Arabidopsis thaliana: one gene and its partners. The protein of the gene in region 4 interacts with the protein of the main gene of each other region in a pairwise test. Each region holds a gene or a part of one and is shown on either strand. Other genes may lie near its edges.

Evidence for each region.
Region 1: the proteins of AT3G61790 (region 4) and AT1G27210 interact in a two-hybrid assay, tested with the Arabidopsis thaliana proteins (one large-scale study listed by BioGRID).
Region 2: the proteins of AT3G61790 (region 4) and AT2G27580 interact in a two-hybrid assay, tested with the Arabidopsis thaliana proteins (one large-scale study listed by BioGRID).
Region 3: the proteins of AT3G61790 (region 4) and TTL interact in a two-hybrid assay, tested with the Arabidopsis thaliana proteins (one large-scale study listed by BioGRID).

The regions. Positions count from the first base shown.
Region 1 is NC_003070.9:9,454,757-9,459,957, reverse strand, and holds AT1G27210 (ARM repeat superfamily protein), read left to right. Parts: upstream 1-1,781; 5' UTR 1,782-2,040; coding exon 2,041-2,901; intron 2,902-2,983; coding exon 2,984-3,083; intron 3,084-3,169; coding exon 3,170-3,696; intron 3,697-3,810; coding exon 3,811-4,187; intron 4,188-4,276; coding exon 4,277-4,289; 3' UTR 4,290-4,681; downstream 4,682-5,201.
Region 2 is NC_003071.7:11,775,909-11,779,380, forward strand, and holds AT2G27580 (A20/AN1-like zinc finger family protein), read right to left. Parts: upstream 1,646-3,472; 5' UTR 1,378-1,645; intron 1,261-1,377; 5' UTR 1,224-1,260; coding exon 732-1,223; 3' UTR 502-731; downstream 1-501. Other genes in the region: AT2G27570 (P-loop containing nucleoside triphosphate hydrolases superfamily protein), read left to right, coding at 1-187, 232-397; AT2G27590 (S-adenosyl-L-methionine-dependent methyltransferases superfamily protein), read right to left, coding at 1,860-2,061, 2,517-2,635, 2,744-3,224, 3,313-3,419. UniProt on the Arabidopsis thaliana protein: May be involved in environmental stress response.
Region 3 is NC_003075.7:12,813,109-12,818,178, reverse strand, and holds TTL (coiled coil protein), read right to left. Parts: upstream 3,374-5,070; 5' UTR 3,313-3,373; coding exon 3,050-3,312; intron 2,816-3,049; coding exon 2,689-2,815; intron 2,559-2,688; coding exon 2,267-2,558; intron 2,169-2,266; coding exon 2,092-2,168; intron 1,676-2,091; coding exon 1,621-1,675; intron 1,483-1,620; coding exon 1,052-1,482; intron 812-1,051; coding exon 791-811; 3' UTR 557-790; downstream 1-556. Other genes in the region: AT4G24910 (glucuronoxylan 4-O-methyltransferase-like protein (DUF579)), read left to right, coding at 1-225; PAP24 (purple acid phosphatase 24), read left to right, coding at 3,739-3,918, 4,124-4,215, 4,300-4,369, 4,456-4,575, 4,657-4,749, 4,847-4,976. UniProt on the Arabidopsis thaliana protein: Key regulator for endosperm and embryo nuclear divisions.
Region 4 is NC_003074.8:22,871,154-22,875,743, forward strand, and holds AT3G61790 (Protein with RING/U-box and TRAF-like domain), read right to left. Parts: upstream 2,681-4,590; 5' UTR 2,391-2,680; coding exon 2,163-2,390; intron 1,880-2,162; coding exon 1,493-1,879; intron 1,187-1,492; coding exon 821-1,186; 3' UTR 544-820; downstream 1-543. Other genes in the region: emb1703 (embryo defective 1703), read right to left, coding at 1-309; AT3G61800 (ENTH/VHS protein), read right to left, coding at 3,570-4,590. UniProt on the Arabidopsis thaliana protein: E3 ubiquitin-protein ligase that mediates ubiquitination and subsequent proteasomal degradation of target proteins.

The DNA of each region.
Region 1 (5,201 bases), on a different chromosome or scaffold from region 4:
GATTTTAAGTTTAGAGATAAAAGGATGTATCCAAATTAGCTAGGGCTAATATTTTCAGTTTGTTTTTCTCTTCATTTATTTGTTGCAGATTGAATCACTATTCGTTTGGAACAACAGACGGTACATGGGATGAGATTCATATAAACGTAGAGCATAAGTAACCATACCTTGTTAATGCTTTAAGCTATTTACGTTCGAAATATCATTTGCTTGTTGCATAATATTCGCCTCATGCATGTTAGTTTTGGATTATCAACAAATGATTTTTTTTTTCTTGTTCCTATAAAAAGGCTTCAACAAAATTGATCCTGTTCAAAAGATATTTTTGATTTAAGTATGCAAATATGTAACATATATTACCAAATAATTAGTCAATGAAACAGGATCAATGTTTGTAGGAGAATTGTTTGTTGTTTTATGTCCTCTACAACTCATACACCAAACAACACATTATTGCAATACTTTTTATATTTATTTTCTTCATTACGAATTACAAAATTAGTAAAAAAAAAGTTCTTATATAAAACATGAAGCTTTTTTCGAATGTCAAATGCATGTAGAGGTAAAAAAAAAGATACGAATTAAATTTTTAGCAGGGGGAGAGGAATTAATCAAGTCACGTGCTCGTCTGCCCAATTTGCCTGCTCTCTCCATTTCCTCTTCACGTGCTTTCACATTATTTCCCTTAATGTCTCTCTCTACCTCTTTCTCTTCATATTTACTTCTGTGCCACTCTTTATTTACCATGGTTTTTTTCTTTCTCTAAAACTTGATTATACAAAAATCATATAATCACGTAATCGGATCATATATTCATCAATTAACAAATGTACTATCTCCATCCACTGTTTAATTAATACGAAATTAAATATGGTGGTTGTCATTTCTTACATCATGTAAACTTAAGTCAAATCATTTTGGCCCCAGAAACTAATATATTCAAGATTAAATCTGATTAGCATCATTGATACTCTGAACAAGTCAAATGTCAAAGAGATTATTAAAACAGCATCATTACCAAAAACACAACATATTATTTCATTTCTTTTGTCTTAATCACTTTATTAATATATATAACTGTAAATTTGGAACTGTTCTAAGGTTCGCCAGTTGGGATATATTCCATTGCCTGTCAGTTTTTTTATTTTGTTTCAATTTCCTTTTTTTGTCGTATCATTTGGTAATGGTGATGATGATACAACATTTTATTTGAACTTTCAAAATCATATATTATAACTTTCTTCTGTGAGATTTAACACGACATCCAAAAAAAAGGACCGAATCTTTCTGACCTACACTAAGAAAACTCACCAATGACTATGACTATTTCTTCAAATCCAATTTAGATTTTTGCTATCATTATCGAAATAGCTAAAAATATTTGGGTTATTAAAAAATAACTTTCATCTAACCAAATTAAATTTCCAATGGGACGAATAATGAACGCAAAAAATGTAGTAAAAAACACACATTTAATTCAGCAACTTAAATAAAATCTGCAAAAAAAAGTAAATTAAATGAAATATACAGATTTCGAATTATTTCGATTGTAAAAGAAATAGAGTAAATAAATGAAAGAGAATATTTGAACAAACTAGTTAGAGTTTATCTACTTTTATTGTTGAAGAAAATATTGCAATAATGTTCTCTTTAAGACCAAAAATATGAATACTTTCAACATTATTTTCCCTTTAATTTTTTCCCAAAGTAGACACTAACGAACAATCATCAAAGTATTTTTCACATATATTACTATAATGTTAGAACATTACATTTTTTATTTCGTCAAGTAGTGTATTTATTTATTGCAATATCTAAAAGACATTAACAAAAGCAAGATTATGAAAATAGTAACATTATTTAATTTATTTACACAAAGTCCCTCTTCTTTGTAAGCATTTAAAAACCCAAATAGCCCAAACCGTCTCTACGCATAATCGGAGAAATCTCTCTGCCGCCATATTCAAAGCAGTTTCCACACATTTAATGTGAACACGTTTTCTCACTACCAACAAAAAAAAACTCAAATCGGAAAAAAAAATGTCGGTTCACGGACGATTTCCGGCGAGTCCACCGATTTCATTATCTCCGTCGTCTTCTTCCACATCTCCGTCTTCACAGTCACCGTCAACACCACCTGATCTAAAGCAACGAGTCATCGCTTGTCTCAACAAGCTCGCTGATCGTGACACTTTAGCTCTCGCTTCCGCTGAGCTTGACTCAATCGCTAGAAACCTTACTCACGATTCCTTCTCTCCGTTTCTTAACTGTATCCACAACACTGACTCTTCCGTTAAATCTCCGGTGAGGAAACAGTGCGTTGCTCTTTTATCGGTTCTTTCTCGTTACCACGGAGATTCTCTAACACCTCACCTTGCTAAGATGGTTTCAACTGTTATTCGCCGTCTCCGAGATCCGGATTCCTCCGTTCGCTCTGCTTGCGCCGTCGCGACGGCTGATATGTCGGCTCATGTTACGAGGCAGCCTTTTGCTTCCGTCGCGAAGCCGTTGATTGAGACTTTGATTCAGGAAGGTGATTCGAATCTGCAGATCGGAGCGGCGTTGTGTTTAGCGGCGTCTGTTGATGCGGCGACGGATCCGGAATCGGAGCAATTGAGAAAATCGTTGCCTAAGATTGGGAAATTGCTTAAGAGTGATGGTTTTAAGGCTAAAGCTGCGTTGTTGAGTGCCGTCGGGAGTATAATTACCGCCGGTGGTGCGGGAACTAAACCGGTTTTGGATTGGTTAGTTCCGGTTTTGATTGAGTTTTTGAGCAGTGAGGATTGGGCGGCGAGGAAGTCTGCGGCTGAGGCGTTGGGTAAAGTTGCGACGGCGGAAGATTTGGCGTCGCAGTATAAGAAGACTTGCACGACGGCTCTTGAGAGTAGAAGATTTGATAAGGTAAAAAAAATAGAGACTTAAAGTTTTGTTTTTGTGTTCAATCTTAAATCAGATTTTGAGACTTAGTGGATTCACAATGTAGGTGAAAAGTGTTAGAGAAACTATGAATAGAGCATTGAATCTGTGGAAGGAAGTTTCAACTGATGATGAAGCTTCTTTATCTCCATCAAGATCTTCAACAGGTATGTACTAGTAGTCATTACTTAGTTGTCTCAATACAGTGAGAATGCAAATTAAACTAGGGACTTGCTTCAATTTGATTTCTCAGATGATGGTAACATTGGATGCTTTTCCTCTGTCACGAGAAGTTCCACCATTGACGTTGGTTTAAAATCCGCTAGGCCAAAGAAAGTAACGCCTATAATGAAGAGGTCCCCATCTTTGCCTGTGAATAGATCATATGCAGCAACTAGACAAAAAGAAAATCTTCCAAAAAGAAATCAAGGGAATATGACCATGTTAGTAGAAGAAGCCTCTAGTGTGGATAACAAGGGACCACATTTTACACCGGTAAAGAAATCTTCGGAAGAAACAGAAGAGAAGGCTAACTCAGGGGGACCAGATATAATCAAACATACTATCTCTGAGAAAAGCAGGGAAGATAGTAAAGTATCGAGCTTTGGTGGTTTGAGGTCTGGCTCAAGGGTTGCACCTTGTAGTGACGATGGTGATTCTGTAAAGAATTGTAAAGATGATGTTGAAGAGAGCAAGAAAGATAGTGAGGAACTGTCTTTGATACGGGAACAGCTTGCTCTGATTGAGAACCAACAGTCTAGTCTCTTAGACTTACTACAGGTATACACTTGGTCTTTAATAAGCATAGTGTCCCTTTATGTAGATAAATTGTTTGGTTATGAATGTTGTAGATAGCTCAATCCTCACTGATTTTTTTTTTCATTTTGGATGTAGAAATTCATGGGAACCTCACAGAGTGGAATTCAGTCTCTGGAGTCTCGTGTAAGCGGTCTAGAGATGGCGTTGGATGAAATATCGTGCGATCTGGCGGTTTCAAACGGGAGAGTTCCTAGGAATAGTAGTGGCTGCGCAGGAGACAGTTGTTCCAAACTACCTGGTACAGAGTTCTTAAGTCCCAAGTTCTGGAGAAAAACCGAGGAGAGACCACGGAACAGAAACACAGCTAATGAAATGGCTGCGTACGACCAGGGGATGCGAGAATCAACAGATACGAACAACGGTCAAAGAGGAGGTTCAGTTTTTCAAAAGAGATCACGAAGAGACCAGTTCCAAGACTGTATGCATACAACACTACAGAAACCAACCACCAGGTAAAACCATCTTTTTAGTAAAGAAAAAAAATCTCTGTTTCCTTTAGCTTATAAAAACATGGTTCTAAAAGTTTGCTTTGTGTTTTCAGATTATCTACTTGAAGCAAAAGTGAAAAGAGTGCACTTTTTGAGAAGAAAGTGATGTGATAATTGAAGCTGACCAGACACTAACACAAGAAGCTGAAAATGAAAAGCCAAAAAATCCCTCAGATTTGATGCTTTGCTTCAAACCGCTTGTTTGAATTTTCAAATCTCTCACACATGTATTAGTAATTTAATCAGCGAGTGAAATAATAGAGTTTCAGAAGAGTAAAATGCATGTGAATAGATCTGATTATTTATGGTAATGTGAGCATTAGAGTTATGACAAACCCATGATGCAAAGATTTGTATATACTGTTTTGTGTTACTCTGATCTGTATTGTAAAATCGTTTGGGAAGAAAGGAATTATTGGTTGCTGATATATAAGAAGAATGATGACAATACAGATACGACTACATTAGACTCCATATGTCTGTGTCAGAAACTCAGAAATTATTGGCTACCACTCCTATAGTTCTATTCCTATGACGGTCTGTTACAAAAAAAAAAAACGATTTTCGTAGTAATAAATAGTGATAAGATAAGGTAGGTAAATAACATGACTACCACAAAAGTCCTGCATTGGTTTCAGGTTTTAGGGCCCGCATTTCAATGGACGAACCTAATTTCAAAAAAATAGAGACCAAAATACAAGAGAACATTCAAGGGATCATTTAATCACTTGGCAAATCCGGTGGCCGCAAATTTTGAATTATTATTATGTACAAGAGAATATTCATCCCATTTTTCTTTTCTTTTTGGAGTATCAAGAGATTGTGGACTTTGAACGAATGTAAAATTTATTCACACAAAAATTCTGTTTTACATCTAGTGCTCGTGAAGTAGACCATATCAGACTGTAAGTGTTGTGGGTTTTTTTCTAACGACATAGGTTCTTTAGTTGTTGAATAAAATACTTGGTTCAACTCTTT
Region 2 (3,472 bases), on a different chromosome or scaffold from region 4:
AGGGAGTCAACTTTTTTGGGCCTTTTTGGGACCAAGTCTTAAGCTACTGGAGAAGAAGCTTGGAAGATCCAAATCATGTCCTTTTCATGAGGTTTGAGGAGATGAAAGCAGAACCTCATGAGCAGATCAAGAGACTTGCTGAGTTCTTAGATTCTCCTTTACTAAGGAAGAAGAAGAGAACGGATTGGTGGATGAGATTATAGATCTTTGCTCTCTACGTAATCTAAGCAGTTTGGAGATCAATAAGACCGGAAAATTATGTGAAGGTAGAGATAACAAAACATTTTTCCGTAAAGGAGAAGTCGGTGATTGGAAGAACTATTTGACTCCTGAAATGGAGAACAAAATCGACATGATCATCCAAGAGAAACTTCAAAATTCTGGTTTGAAATTCTGAGTTTGTGCTTTTCTCCAATGCATTGTAATAAGACTACCCTATGTTGTTGTCATGCTTTTCTCTGTTCTACATATTGGCTAATGGCTAATGTAATGACGAACCAATCAACCAAATCCAAATTCTACACATTGATAATACGACTTAAGCCTTCTACAAGATCATCAAACGGAACAATCAAATCAATAATAAGCAAATTTAATAACCAAACTGAAGAAATCATCAAATAAAGCTTAAATTTACATTGACATGTTTGTTTCTTGCTCTTTCTTCTTCATGTGTGTTTCATTCAAACGCACAAAACCAAAGCAACAACAACAAACAACAAACAACAAAGTCAAATCTTCTCAAGCTTATCAGCTTTCACAATCGGATTCGCTTTAGCGATCTTATCCTTCCCCATCCGCTTGAAATCAAACGAACATTCATGTTGCTCCGCGTACCTATGCGTCCCGCAGAAAACGAAACCACACCTACACCGAAACCCCGTGATTCCCACGCGCCGCCGACAAGTCAAACACCGCTTCGGATCTTGCGGCGGACCATCCGCCTCCTCCGGTTCAGCCGCCGCTCGTTTCTCTGATTTCGCTTCAACGATTTCTTTCGAATCAGCTGGAGGCGGAGGCGGTGGCGACACGGAGGAAGACGCAGCAGCGCCAACGGCGGCTAAGGATTGGGTAAGAGCATGTTTGGCGGTGGAAGAGTTTTGTTCTTGATGTTGAAGATCTCGAAAACATTTGGAACAGAGATTTTGTGTAGCTGTGCTTCCGAAGAAGCCACAATTGTTAGCACATAATCGTGGTTCTTGAAGTCTGTGTTCTTCCGCCATAACAGAATGGATCAAAACAAACTCCGGCGAAAAAAATCTACAAAATTAACCGATCGATGGAATCAAAAATCAATAGATCTGTTGCTTAAATCTCATCAAAACTATAGAACAGAAAGAAAAAACTAATGGATCGGCGAAAACAACAAGTCATTACCTGGTGAAAAAAACGATTTATTAGATCTGTTCGAATCGGTGATGGTTCTAAGAAGAGAGAATCTGTATTTTTATAAGAAGAGAGAAATCAATGGAATATGGAAAGAAAGAAAGGAATCGAGAGATGAGAAAGGAAAGAGATGAAGAATTATGAGGAAATGGGAAAACTAACGACGACGCAATCGATACAAAATTAAATTGTTATTTTACTCTTTTTTTTGTTGGCCGTAAGATGGAAATTGGACAATTTGTGGAAAATGGTGTTATTTGGCTTTTGGGCTAGCGTTGAAGATTCCAGAAGCACCTACACTATTCATTTTAACAATTTTGTGCTTGATAATTGAAATCATGAGACGACAAAAAAATAATATTGAAATCATGAAACTAAACCAGTGCGTGTCAGAAATAAATACTAGATGTAAAATCGACAAAGGATCTGAGTTAAAGGGCTAGTGTCTTTTGATCAAAAGATAGAAAGCATAACTAGAGGCTGACCGCAACAATGTAAGCATTCCAAGAATCACACTGTTGAAAGCTCTTGACTTGTTCGTACTTGATATCACGTCCAGCACCAAACCCATCTGTTCTACGCATTTCAGAAGCGTCCGGCATTTCTCTGAGCCAGAAATGGACTGAGCTAAACCCAGCTTCCTCCATACAATCCTTTATCTCCGGCAATGACCACCTACACATATATGAACAGCAGATCCAGGAGTTACTTCTCAGGAACTTAATGATTCAAGAGTGCAAGTACAATAAATCTACAGACAATAAGGAAAGCAGGAATATTGTCTTGCCCGAATATAACATTCAATATCATTTCACTGCTACTTACCAGCCAACACAAGGATAAGTCACTAACATATGAATTTAGATATCAGTAACATTCGAGCACATGTTTGTGTAAGTTTTGATCCATAGTGGCTGCACTACAGAATCTCTACCTCACCCAGCCAACCAAAATTACCAAAAGCCTACACTTATCAAGTTATCTAAAATGCTAAGCAAACCCCTAAGTACCAAATATGCTTCGTTTTTTTGTAACTGTAATATTTTCTTAAGGCTTGTGGGAGATTGTGGGTAATGACTGTCCCACTTTGAAGAAAGAATGGATGTGGAAGTAGACTACAGGACACTTACAGTCTCCAGCTATATGAAAAAGCATGGCGAATCTTTCTGTTCTGCTTCTGAAGGTGATAGTGCAGACTGATCCTTGTCTTGCGGCTTAAAATATCAAACTCAGCCTGCTCCCATGTATACTGCCAAATGAATATGGACAATCGTTAGTACGGTTATCTCTAGTAAGTTCGATATTTATGGCTCTGACACCCTTTTTTACCGAATGAAGTACAAGAATGAACTATTACCGTGAAATTAGGGAATTTCCGTTGAAGCTTCAACTGTCCCTCAGCAGAAGCACCTCCATATAAATCCATCACGAAGATACCACCTTTCTTAGACAAAGCGTCACGTGCATTCTTGAAGTAAGAAACCAACTCCGAGCGTTTGTGGAGACAACAACAACTAAAATTAAAAGCACACACAATATCCCTCTTTGGCAACGAATCAGGTCCATCTTTCTCTAAAGATTCGACAACACTCGGATCAGCCAAATCTTCATTATCATCACCATCATCCAAGCTGATATTTTGTATCAGCTCATGGGATTTAGATTTCACTTGCTTAGCCTCAAGAGGAGTTAAAACATTCCCATGGAAAAGCGACATTCTTGAATACACGTCAGAACCAAGTTTACTAATGTTGTTATCCATACACCATTCTAACGCCTCAAGATCAAAATCAAGCCCTATAGCAGTCCGTCTAGTGTCAGTCTTCAGCCACTCCGCACTATTCCAACAATCAATGTAAAAACTTATTCAAGCAAGAAAACCAAAAGCTACATTATTTTGTACCATTTAGTGAAACACACAACAACCTTAAAAGAGCAGTGCCGCAGAAATCTTCTTGGAAATGGAAAGGTTGTCTTCCACCAACATACATTAAAAAGAACTTCTGCAAGTAACTTATGTCTCCTTTTGGTGACTGCAACAAACAAAAAGCAATGAAAAGACAAGAACAACAAATGTTAAAGCTTA
Region 3 (5,070 bases), on a different chromosome or scaffold from region 4:
GGGAGTATATATACTGCAGCTGTGTTAGCAAGAAAAGGAAGTAGCAACTCAACAACAGATGTTTTCGTGCATGATGTGCACAGGACAGCTGAAAAGTGGCTCTCCTGGGAGTTCTTGTGCCAGGAGAATCTGGTTTCAGCTAAAGGAACCTTCTGGAAGTTTAGGATCAAGCGTCAATCAAATGCATCCAGGTTTTGCTCACCAGAAACAGTCATCATCAGATAATAGCTAAATTTTGTACATTTAATCAAGAGCAACAATGTTACTCCCTTAGTTCTACACACTACTGTGTCTTAATCTCATACCACCGTAGGGAAATATTCGAATTAAAGTAATTTAGTGTACAAATGTCATTCTAAATATGTGTATCCAACTAGAAAATAGATACAGTTTGTTGAGATGGCCACAATCTATGAACCACACAACAAAGTTATTTCACTTTATCTCCCCCAGAAAAAGAAACATCAGATGAAAAGATTTAGATCTTTCTTAAGATGAAGAACCCAAAGGAAGATCAGATAGTGGAGAAAGGCCTTCTCCATGCTATATTTTATTACTGCATAAGCTACGTAAAACTTTAACCCTTTAAAATCTCTCGTACCAAAAACAAAATTTTATCCATTTTTTACACTACTTGAAAGGAGTCCCAGGATCACATACTTCTAAATTCTATCATAGCTCAACATGAAAACAAGATACATTGGAGTAGGATCTCCAGGAAACGAGGATTATAAAATTCCTACATGAGATAATCCTTACTAGTTGCCATTTTGGATGTCAGCCACCGCCATTACTCACCACTCTCTCTTCGCTGCAATCACAATTAATGTATATACATAAGACCACTGAAAAGTATTTCTCGAACTAAATTTAAAACAGTAGCAACAAAGCAATATGTATCCTTTTATGTTGAGTATAAAAGGAAACCACATGATATGTCGCTAAAAGGAATATCAATCCAAACAAATACGTTTGAGAAGTAGAAAAAATATCAAATGACATGAGACCAGTAGTCATTTATAATTCAACATGAGCAAAGGTAAAAACTTACCGCCCGTTTGCTAATGTACGGTTGTATTTTGACTGGTTCTGATTCTGTAGAGATGCTTTCAGTTTTCACTAACTTCCGTTTTTCCTTCTCAAATTCTTTCCTGGATTCTTTTCTAGTGCCTGATTGCCAAACCCGACCAAAGTTGGGAAGCCAGTCTGGATCAATGTTACTCTTCGTTACATGTCCACTCTTCTCCATTTCTATCTCTATCTTTCTCCTTTCAGCCCATGCAGCGCCAACCCTATTAGGATTCAGCTTACGATTCTTTCCAGGTACCTTTGCCTGAAAGCGGGCCACATCTGATTGGTTTAGTTGAACACTAGAAAAATCCCCATCATTTGCATCAAGCCAAGGTGGAGGAGCTCCAGAGTGAACGTTCCCGCCAGCATCAGTGGAATGTGAGGACGAAATGCTAGTCATTCCCACCACACCTGAAAAAAATAAAACCCATGCCATTAAAAGTAGTGCATATAAGATTGGCTACGTTAATGAAATTCATAGACCTAGACGATAAAGCCCTAATCATGAAATTAACACAACGCAGATCAAATTTGAAAGCAGAGGCCTACCTGGAGGATTGTAAGAGCCATCAATTTGTTTCTTATCTTGGCTCACCTGATAATTCTAGATGAAGACAATGTCAGTCACAGGCTCTTTTATAAAAGTTTGGACTTAGCCAATGAGATAGCTCTGGAGGTATGATGTAGTTGAACACATGGAAAAAGATAGCCAAACAGTGAAGGAACTTTGATGATAAAAACAACACACAAAAGTATTTCTTACCCCAAACTTTAATAAAATTCATTCTGCCTAAAAAACCTCTCATATATAGAAGAATTTTTTTGATGTGCAAATTACGCATATAACACATAAGAAATTCCTGAACCAAGGAATACTTAAGACCATAAACTTTAGAAAAACTAGCCTATAACCAAAATTCTGAGCCAAAGAATCCTCATGATGAAACTAACAGGAAGCGTCATATAGATGCACCATAACCAGATTATCAGAATATCAATGTTACTATGACTGAAACCCACCTCTTGGGTGCAATAATTACCGTTGCCCGAGTAGTCCTTGCTTCTACAAGGAATGGAATGTTCGCCAAACCCGTTCCCTAGAAAATATAATTATAGAGAGTTAGAGACTATTATACACAACTTGTAAACACTTGGAAACTGACAAATTGTGGAGGTCGGAATCAACCAAAAATACCTGATTCATCACATAGAGGGAATTGGGAATCATCCATGTTCAGATATGAACCATTATGTATAACTCCAGGAATCTCTGAAAGTGATATCTGATACTCATTCGTATTATACTGTAAAGGCATAACATCATTTGATTTATATGAATTTATATGGTGTGCAGGAACTTTTTTAATTCTATCCATAGTTTCAAACGCAAGTTTAGTGTGGATATCATTAGATGTCCCAGACAGCTGTCCACAGGACCCTTCAAAAGATGCATCTTCATTTCCAAATGACTGACATTTTTTCTCCCACTGCATCCAGCATGAATAGAATTTCATTAGAGATTTCAACGAATAACATGGCTACACTCTTAAACCGCAAAGGTTGCAATTGAGATCTGTAAAAACAGAAGAGCATAATATTCAAGTAAATAGTGCATACCTTAGCTACATCAGCTTCTGAAATTCGGAACTCGTCTATGCAATCCATTGCCGGGCCATTTTTCGACAGAAATTGCTTGATATTCTTAAGATGATCGGAACTTGCGAAGTGATTGATAGCCTTAGAACTGATACAAAGTTTCCAAACAAAGTATTATGTGCAGTCAAATAAATCAATTATCATCAGAAGACGCATCAGTTTAGATACAATCCCAGTTTTCTAGCACAGTTTCAATCAACTCTTGCGCACTCTGATTCTACATTCAAATAAAGTAACACAGCTACTAATGTTCGCACAACAATGAACCCAAATCAAACAAACAGTCACAAATCGAGAGGAAAGAGAAAACGGAATGGCATACCAGGCGAAGGAGCTACCGAGCTCAACAATGTCCTCATCGCAGAAGACACACCAAACACGGTTTTGCGACTGCTCTTGTGGCCGTAGAACGCTAGGGTTCTTCAGGAAGAATCTGACGTCAGCTATCTTCGATCTGAATCGATCGAGTAAGGAAGAGAGGGAACTTTTGTGGCGAGGGAAGTACTTGTGGCGCGAGCCTTGGTCGTGATGAAACCGGCACACCGTGCAGAACTCGATTTCGCTCTTTTTCGATGGTTTCTTCATCTTCTTCTTCTTTCTTTCCAAAGTGACCCGAATTAGTGATGCGATTACAGCGCGATTGAAACCGAAGCCACGGTTGCCAAATTTAACAATCAAGCTTTATTAATTTCCGGTTCAAAGCCGGTCCGACCCGGATCAGCCTAATGTACATAAGTCTGAATAAAACGAAAATCCGTTTTTTCCGTTATCATTATTTGTTTTTAAAACAGTATGAACTATCATTAAGAAAAAACTGTTAGAATATTAAAAAGAAACTGTTAGAATATTCCTGACTAAAGATTTGACGGTGAAAGAAAATATTTGATTTTGTTTAATTCGATAGACATGAATCAATTTTGGGATTCCTAGATATATCCTGATTATAATATATATATATATACCTTTCTGGTTTTGTTTCTCAGTCACAACAAAGGAAAAACAAAAAAAAATATGGCTAGAGTTTTAGGTGTGCTTCTGTGTTTACTCGCACTGTTCAGCTCGAGCTTATGTTTGGATCATGCCAATGGTCGTGGAGATCAAGCACTTGCTCAAATTAATGTTTACGAAACAAGTCTTGCTTTAGATAGTTCTGTCAAACTTCACGCTTCGCCTCAAGTTCTTGGTTCCCAGGTTCCAATAACAAATTCTTTCATCATATTATTGTTCTTGTCAGATTCTTGTTTGACAGATATATATTAACTCTTAAGAGATGGTTTTTTTAAATGTCAAAAAAATTGTATGATAGACTTGAATATGTTTTCTTGATTTCACGTAATTATCACAAAAACCAAACTTAAATAGATATGTTATTGATGTCATGACTTTGATCTTACAGGGTGAAGATACAGAATGGGTAAATCTTGCTATCTCCAACCCCAAGCCCACTTCAGATGATTGGATAGGAGTTTTCTCTCCAGCAAAATTCGAGTATTTTTTCTAATCTGCATCTGTGTTTGTTAACTTGTGAACGTGCCATTTGTGCATTATTAACTTGTCTTTGTTGTTTGTTAGTTCGGGTAACTGTTGGCCAACAAGTGGTGGCAAAGAGAAAACTCCTTACATATGCTCTTCTCCCATCAAGGTTTGGTTTATTACATATTTACCAGTGATTTTTTTTTTTTTTTTAAGTCCCGGTGTAACATTCCCCTTTTAATTTCTATTTGGCAGTACATGTATTGTAATTCTCATCCAGATTACATGAAGTCCGGGAATGTGACTCTCAAGTTCCAGATTATAAATCAGAGAGCTGATGTCTCCTTTGCACTGTTTTCCAATGGAGTTCAAGAGGTAGGTTATAACTATAGTTTTTCTCAGTTTAGTATTTTGTATATCAAGTGGACTTAATTATTGATCTTTTGAATATCACAGCCACACCTTCTCGGGGTTTCGAATCCTGTAGCTTTCTTCAATCCTAAAGCACCTGTCTATCCGCGTCTTGCATTAGGGAAGAATTGGGACGAAGTAAGTTTTTCCACTCAATGGCCTTGAGACTTCTGAAGCAGCTATACAATATTTGGGATCTTTAGCTAAAACTTGCTTATTTTTCTATCTTTGATAGATGACCGTGACATGGACTAGTGGGTACAACATAGATGAGGCTGTTCCTTTCATTGAATGGAGTGCAAAGGGACTTCCAGCTAGAAGATCACCAGCTGGAACATTGACCTTTAACAGAAACAGCATGTGTGGTATGTCCTGTTTCGCTGTGATCTCTGAGCCAGCAGTCCTGGAATATCTGAAACTACTCATCTGGATCATTCTAGAGATTTGATTTGTGGATGC
Region 4 (4,590 bases):
TCCCTCGGTGCTACTTAAATCATCACAGTGACCAAACTTATGGCTTTCGTTTAGAGGTTTCGTACCTGGTTCAGAAGATTTCGGAGTCGAACGCCAATACTCATCACCGATGATCTTCTTCCTCAGCGAATTACGTCGCCTCGAGGTCTCTCCGAACCGAGCCGAGACTCGGAGAATTGAAACGCGATAGTAGTGGAATTTGGAGATGGGCAAGTTGAATCGACGTTGGTTAGCGAGTCTCCTGTTCGAATTGGACGAGAAAGACGAGAAATTGAAGAAACCATCATTGGAGTTTAGTAGAACCTCCATTGATGGAAACCAAAGGGATAAAGCTCACTTCCGAGTGAGAAAACCCCCAAAAGCTGGGTTTAACAGAACAATGATGAAACGTCGTCGTTTCTTAAACAAAGCTAACGCCTTTGAACAACACTACAGTTGAAAAAAGGTTCAACATTTTACATTTTCCAGATATAAAGCTCATCACTTCCAAGTTCCAAAAGCTGGGTTTAACAGAACAATGATGAAACGTCGTCGTTTCGTGGACACAACACAAGCATTACATAAATTTATGAACACTACAGTTGATAAAAGTAAAAGGTTCAACATTTTACGTTTTTCCTCCAGATATAGCAGAATTGTAATGAACTATATATTTTATAATAAAAAAACCTCCATGACATGAGAAAGACAGAGAGAGATACATAAGAACAACCCCAAGTTTATCGTCAGAGAAAACCCTAATTACAGATAACCATGGTTACAGAGACAAGGCCAAATCGGTGAGGTTTTCAAAATCAGTTTGATTTTTTTTTTTTAATTTTCAAGACAAGTTTGGGATACAAGCTCCTCCACCTTCACCACTTTGTTGTTGCTCTTTCCATATCCTTCCAGTGACTCGAAGTTTCAGCTCTTTCCTATCTCCACCTGAGAAGAAGAGAGCCATGTTTCTTTGTATAATTAGTCCATCATGACTGTCTCTAACTTTCCTGTGGCTGTCTCTTACGCTTCTTGGTGTTCCTTCCCATATCAGCTTCCGACCATAACCTCCCACTTCTAAACTGTAATTGTAGTTTCGAGCTTCTGTCTCGTCCCCCATGAAACGCAGGAACGCCATGTAGACTGGAGCCATTCCGAGCTGGAATGCCTCAAAGTGAAGACAGAAGTATTGACCGAAGCAGTGAAAGACCTGATTTTCATTTTTGAACCAGAAACAAAACCAAAACAGAGGAAACCTTGATAAGCATTAAAGTATATCAAGTCAACATGTATAGCGAGATGGAAGATTCACAATTCACAACCATAGATTAGATAAATAACTGGACCTTCTCTAGGAAAGCTAACTCGCAACAAAAGCAAAATTTGACTCAGCTGATCACATTACAGTTTATACCAGACAGATCAAATTTTATCACAAATATAATCCTATTACTTTAAACAAAGCCTCCTAACTTATCTAAGTGTATACTATGAAGCACGATTCATATGTACTTACAGTTAACATCCATGTGGCGTTTTCGACTTCACGAGGATTAGACTTGACATAACGATGGTTGAAAGTACACCCAGAATGCATATCCACCTTATGATCATCCCTCAGATGAGCAACTAAGAAAGGGATATCGCCCGTAACAGAACACTCGGATCCAGCATAAGGGCAGCTATAAGGTCTGAAGTTACATACAGTCTCATGTTTGAGCTTACTGTAATAAGGGAAGATTTCAGGACATCCAAGTGACATGTGTTTACAAGGTAGTTCAAGTGATTCGGCTACTTTTTCCAGTGCCAAACAACGGATATCACCGAGCTCTTGTCTACAAGTTGGGCAGCGGTTGTGAACCCTGGCTTTACAGGTTGAACACAACGTATGTCCATTGTGACACTGTAGGGAAATCAAATAATTGTCTATCTGTTATTCCATAATTCTCTAAAGAAACAATAAGAAGAATCTTAGAAACTATCAAAGCTATTGACAAAATTTAGTGACAATTGTTTCAATTGTAGCCATTAGTGAATGGATAAAACTAAATTTCAAGTTACAAGAGCAACACAACCACTGCTTCAACATCCATGATTCACATCATTAACTCAAAACCCTAAACAAAATCAACAAATTAAAGATCCGGGGAAACGAAATCAGAGAACAAGGGATTGAAAAGAAAGACCTGATGAATGGGAGGGTACATAGAATTGGTGCAGACAGGACATTCGAGAAGCTCATGAACACTGGTGGTGGTAGGGAGAAGCCCAGAAGCAGCAGCATTAACGTTGGTGGTGTTGTTATTAGTATGATGATGCTTGGAAACAGAAGCGTAGGAATGGCGATCTTGGTGGATCTCTTCATCATCTGTCACATCCATGGTTGATGTACAGTCCATGCTATCCAAATCCATTGAAGAAAGGTGGAGACTTTGATTGATCTTCGATCGAAACGAAAGATCAAAATCCGGAATTGAAGAAACACCACCGAAACAGGTCAACCCTCGTGAAGTGTTGTTAATTTTCAAAAACAAAAAAGATAGATGCTCTTCTTCATCAATTCTCTAGAGAGAGAGAGAGAGATAGTTGCCGTCAAATGAACCGGAAACGCTGATTTAAGATCGGACGGTCACAAAGGCGGCTGTGTTAAAGAGAGAATGTTATTTGGAAACAAATTGAATTATAAGAGATTCAGAAGAATTTACTGGATAGGGGAAAAATAATCATATTCTAATAATATACGTACAGTATATCCTCTCTCACTCAATGATTTCTTTGTTTTTAATTAAAGGGCCATGATCCAGTAGAGATGGGCCTAAATATGTACATGGTGCACATGATTGCTTCTTTTTTTTTATTCTAGATGTTTTTCTCTCTAGTGGGATTCTGTCTATCATTATTGTGTGTTCTTTTTTTACTTTTAATTCAAACAATTTCTTTTCCTTTGTACAAGAAAAATGATTTTCAACTTCTAAAATGACAGCTAAATTCAAAGATTCATGAAAAACATGCTCATCTTTCTGTTTACTTTAACAAAAACTTTAAGAGATGTATTTAGGTAAAATTAGACGGTTTAAGAATATGAAATTCATAAGAGGAATAATAAGTAATGGGATGTGGCTTGGGTTCAAAGTCACTTCAAAGACCAATGATAATGTAAATGAACATTTTACTCTTCTTCATCTCAAGCAAACTCTCACAATCTTAAAAGCAAATTATTCAATTAATAATTGCTTCTCATCAGTGATCGGTCTCATGAGTGATATCATCCTTAAACACACCACATAAAAGAAAAAGAAAAAAGCGAACAACAACGATCCATCCAGCTTCAATGATCTGTCGTTGCTTTTTAACAGAACATGTCAATTGTACTATTATCTTTCTGTTGGGTTTTGTGACTTTTGTCTGAGAAAAATATAAAGCTTCAAAGAATCTGGGACTTGACTTAAGAACTGTTTTCACAGCTACAAGAGATCACAAGCGGATCTGATTATTCATTCATCAAATATTCTTTAGCTTTTTACTCCTATTTGCATCAAACAATCAAATTTAAGGCACTACTGGATCAAAACTAGAAAGATTTTAGTTATTTGTTACCACTGGTTAGCCGATGTATCCCGGCACTTTTCATCATTGCCCTGAGCCAACTGCTGTGGATTAGTACCTTTTACTCGATTACTAAACAGTCTCTGGGATATTCTATCTTTAGCCGTTGTTTTCTTACGCCTTGTGGAAAAGGTTTGCTTCTTGTTTTTCTTTTCAGCAAAAACTCTATCAAACTCATCATCCATAGCATTCGATCTAGAAGTTGAGGCTATTGCCGCACCACGCAGAACTTCATGATTGTGTTCCTTAACCTTAACCTTAACAAGCTTTGCTCTTTTCCTCACCACTTCTTTGTCTTTCTCCCGGATATTCTTCAGAGCCTCTTTCGCTATTTGCCTAGCTAACTGATTAGGATCAGAATCTGAAGTTGTTTCATCCATAGACACATCCTGGTTGGTCCCTGAAGTTGAAGAAGTTTGGTTTTCACTCTCATCTAATGGAGATTCCTGGATTATGGTGTTTCCTTCATCATCCCGGGGTACAATGGGTCCGTGAAACGGACAGACTCTGAGATCTCTTCTCTGGCAAAGACCACCTTTCTTTAGAGAAGCACGGCATGGAGGTGTCTCTGTTCTCTCTTCTCTATACACGGTTGCCTGAAGATTCAATTCTGCTATTTTATCTGCTGGAATTATAGCATCTTGATCCACCCTGCCCCAGTGGCTCTCGATCTCTAAACCCCGGTAATTAGCTCGAACTTCCGTAGTTGATTCCCAATTAGTCAACTGTGATCCCCAATTCATCACAGGCGCTTCAGAAATTAGCTTGTCTCTAAGAGAGTTTCCACTGCTTCCAACTTTTTTAGTGTTCGACACTTTATTGGACCTAGCTTCTGATGTAGACTTCTTTGCTTCACCTGATGATGGTAAAGATGAATTCTCACTCTGCTGAGTTCTCATCACATGAGCCACGTTCTTGACTGAATCAGTTTTAACCTTGCCATCATCCTCCTCCCAGATATCTTCTTCTTCCTCGTTTGTTTCTTCATTACCGTGAATATCAGTCATT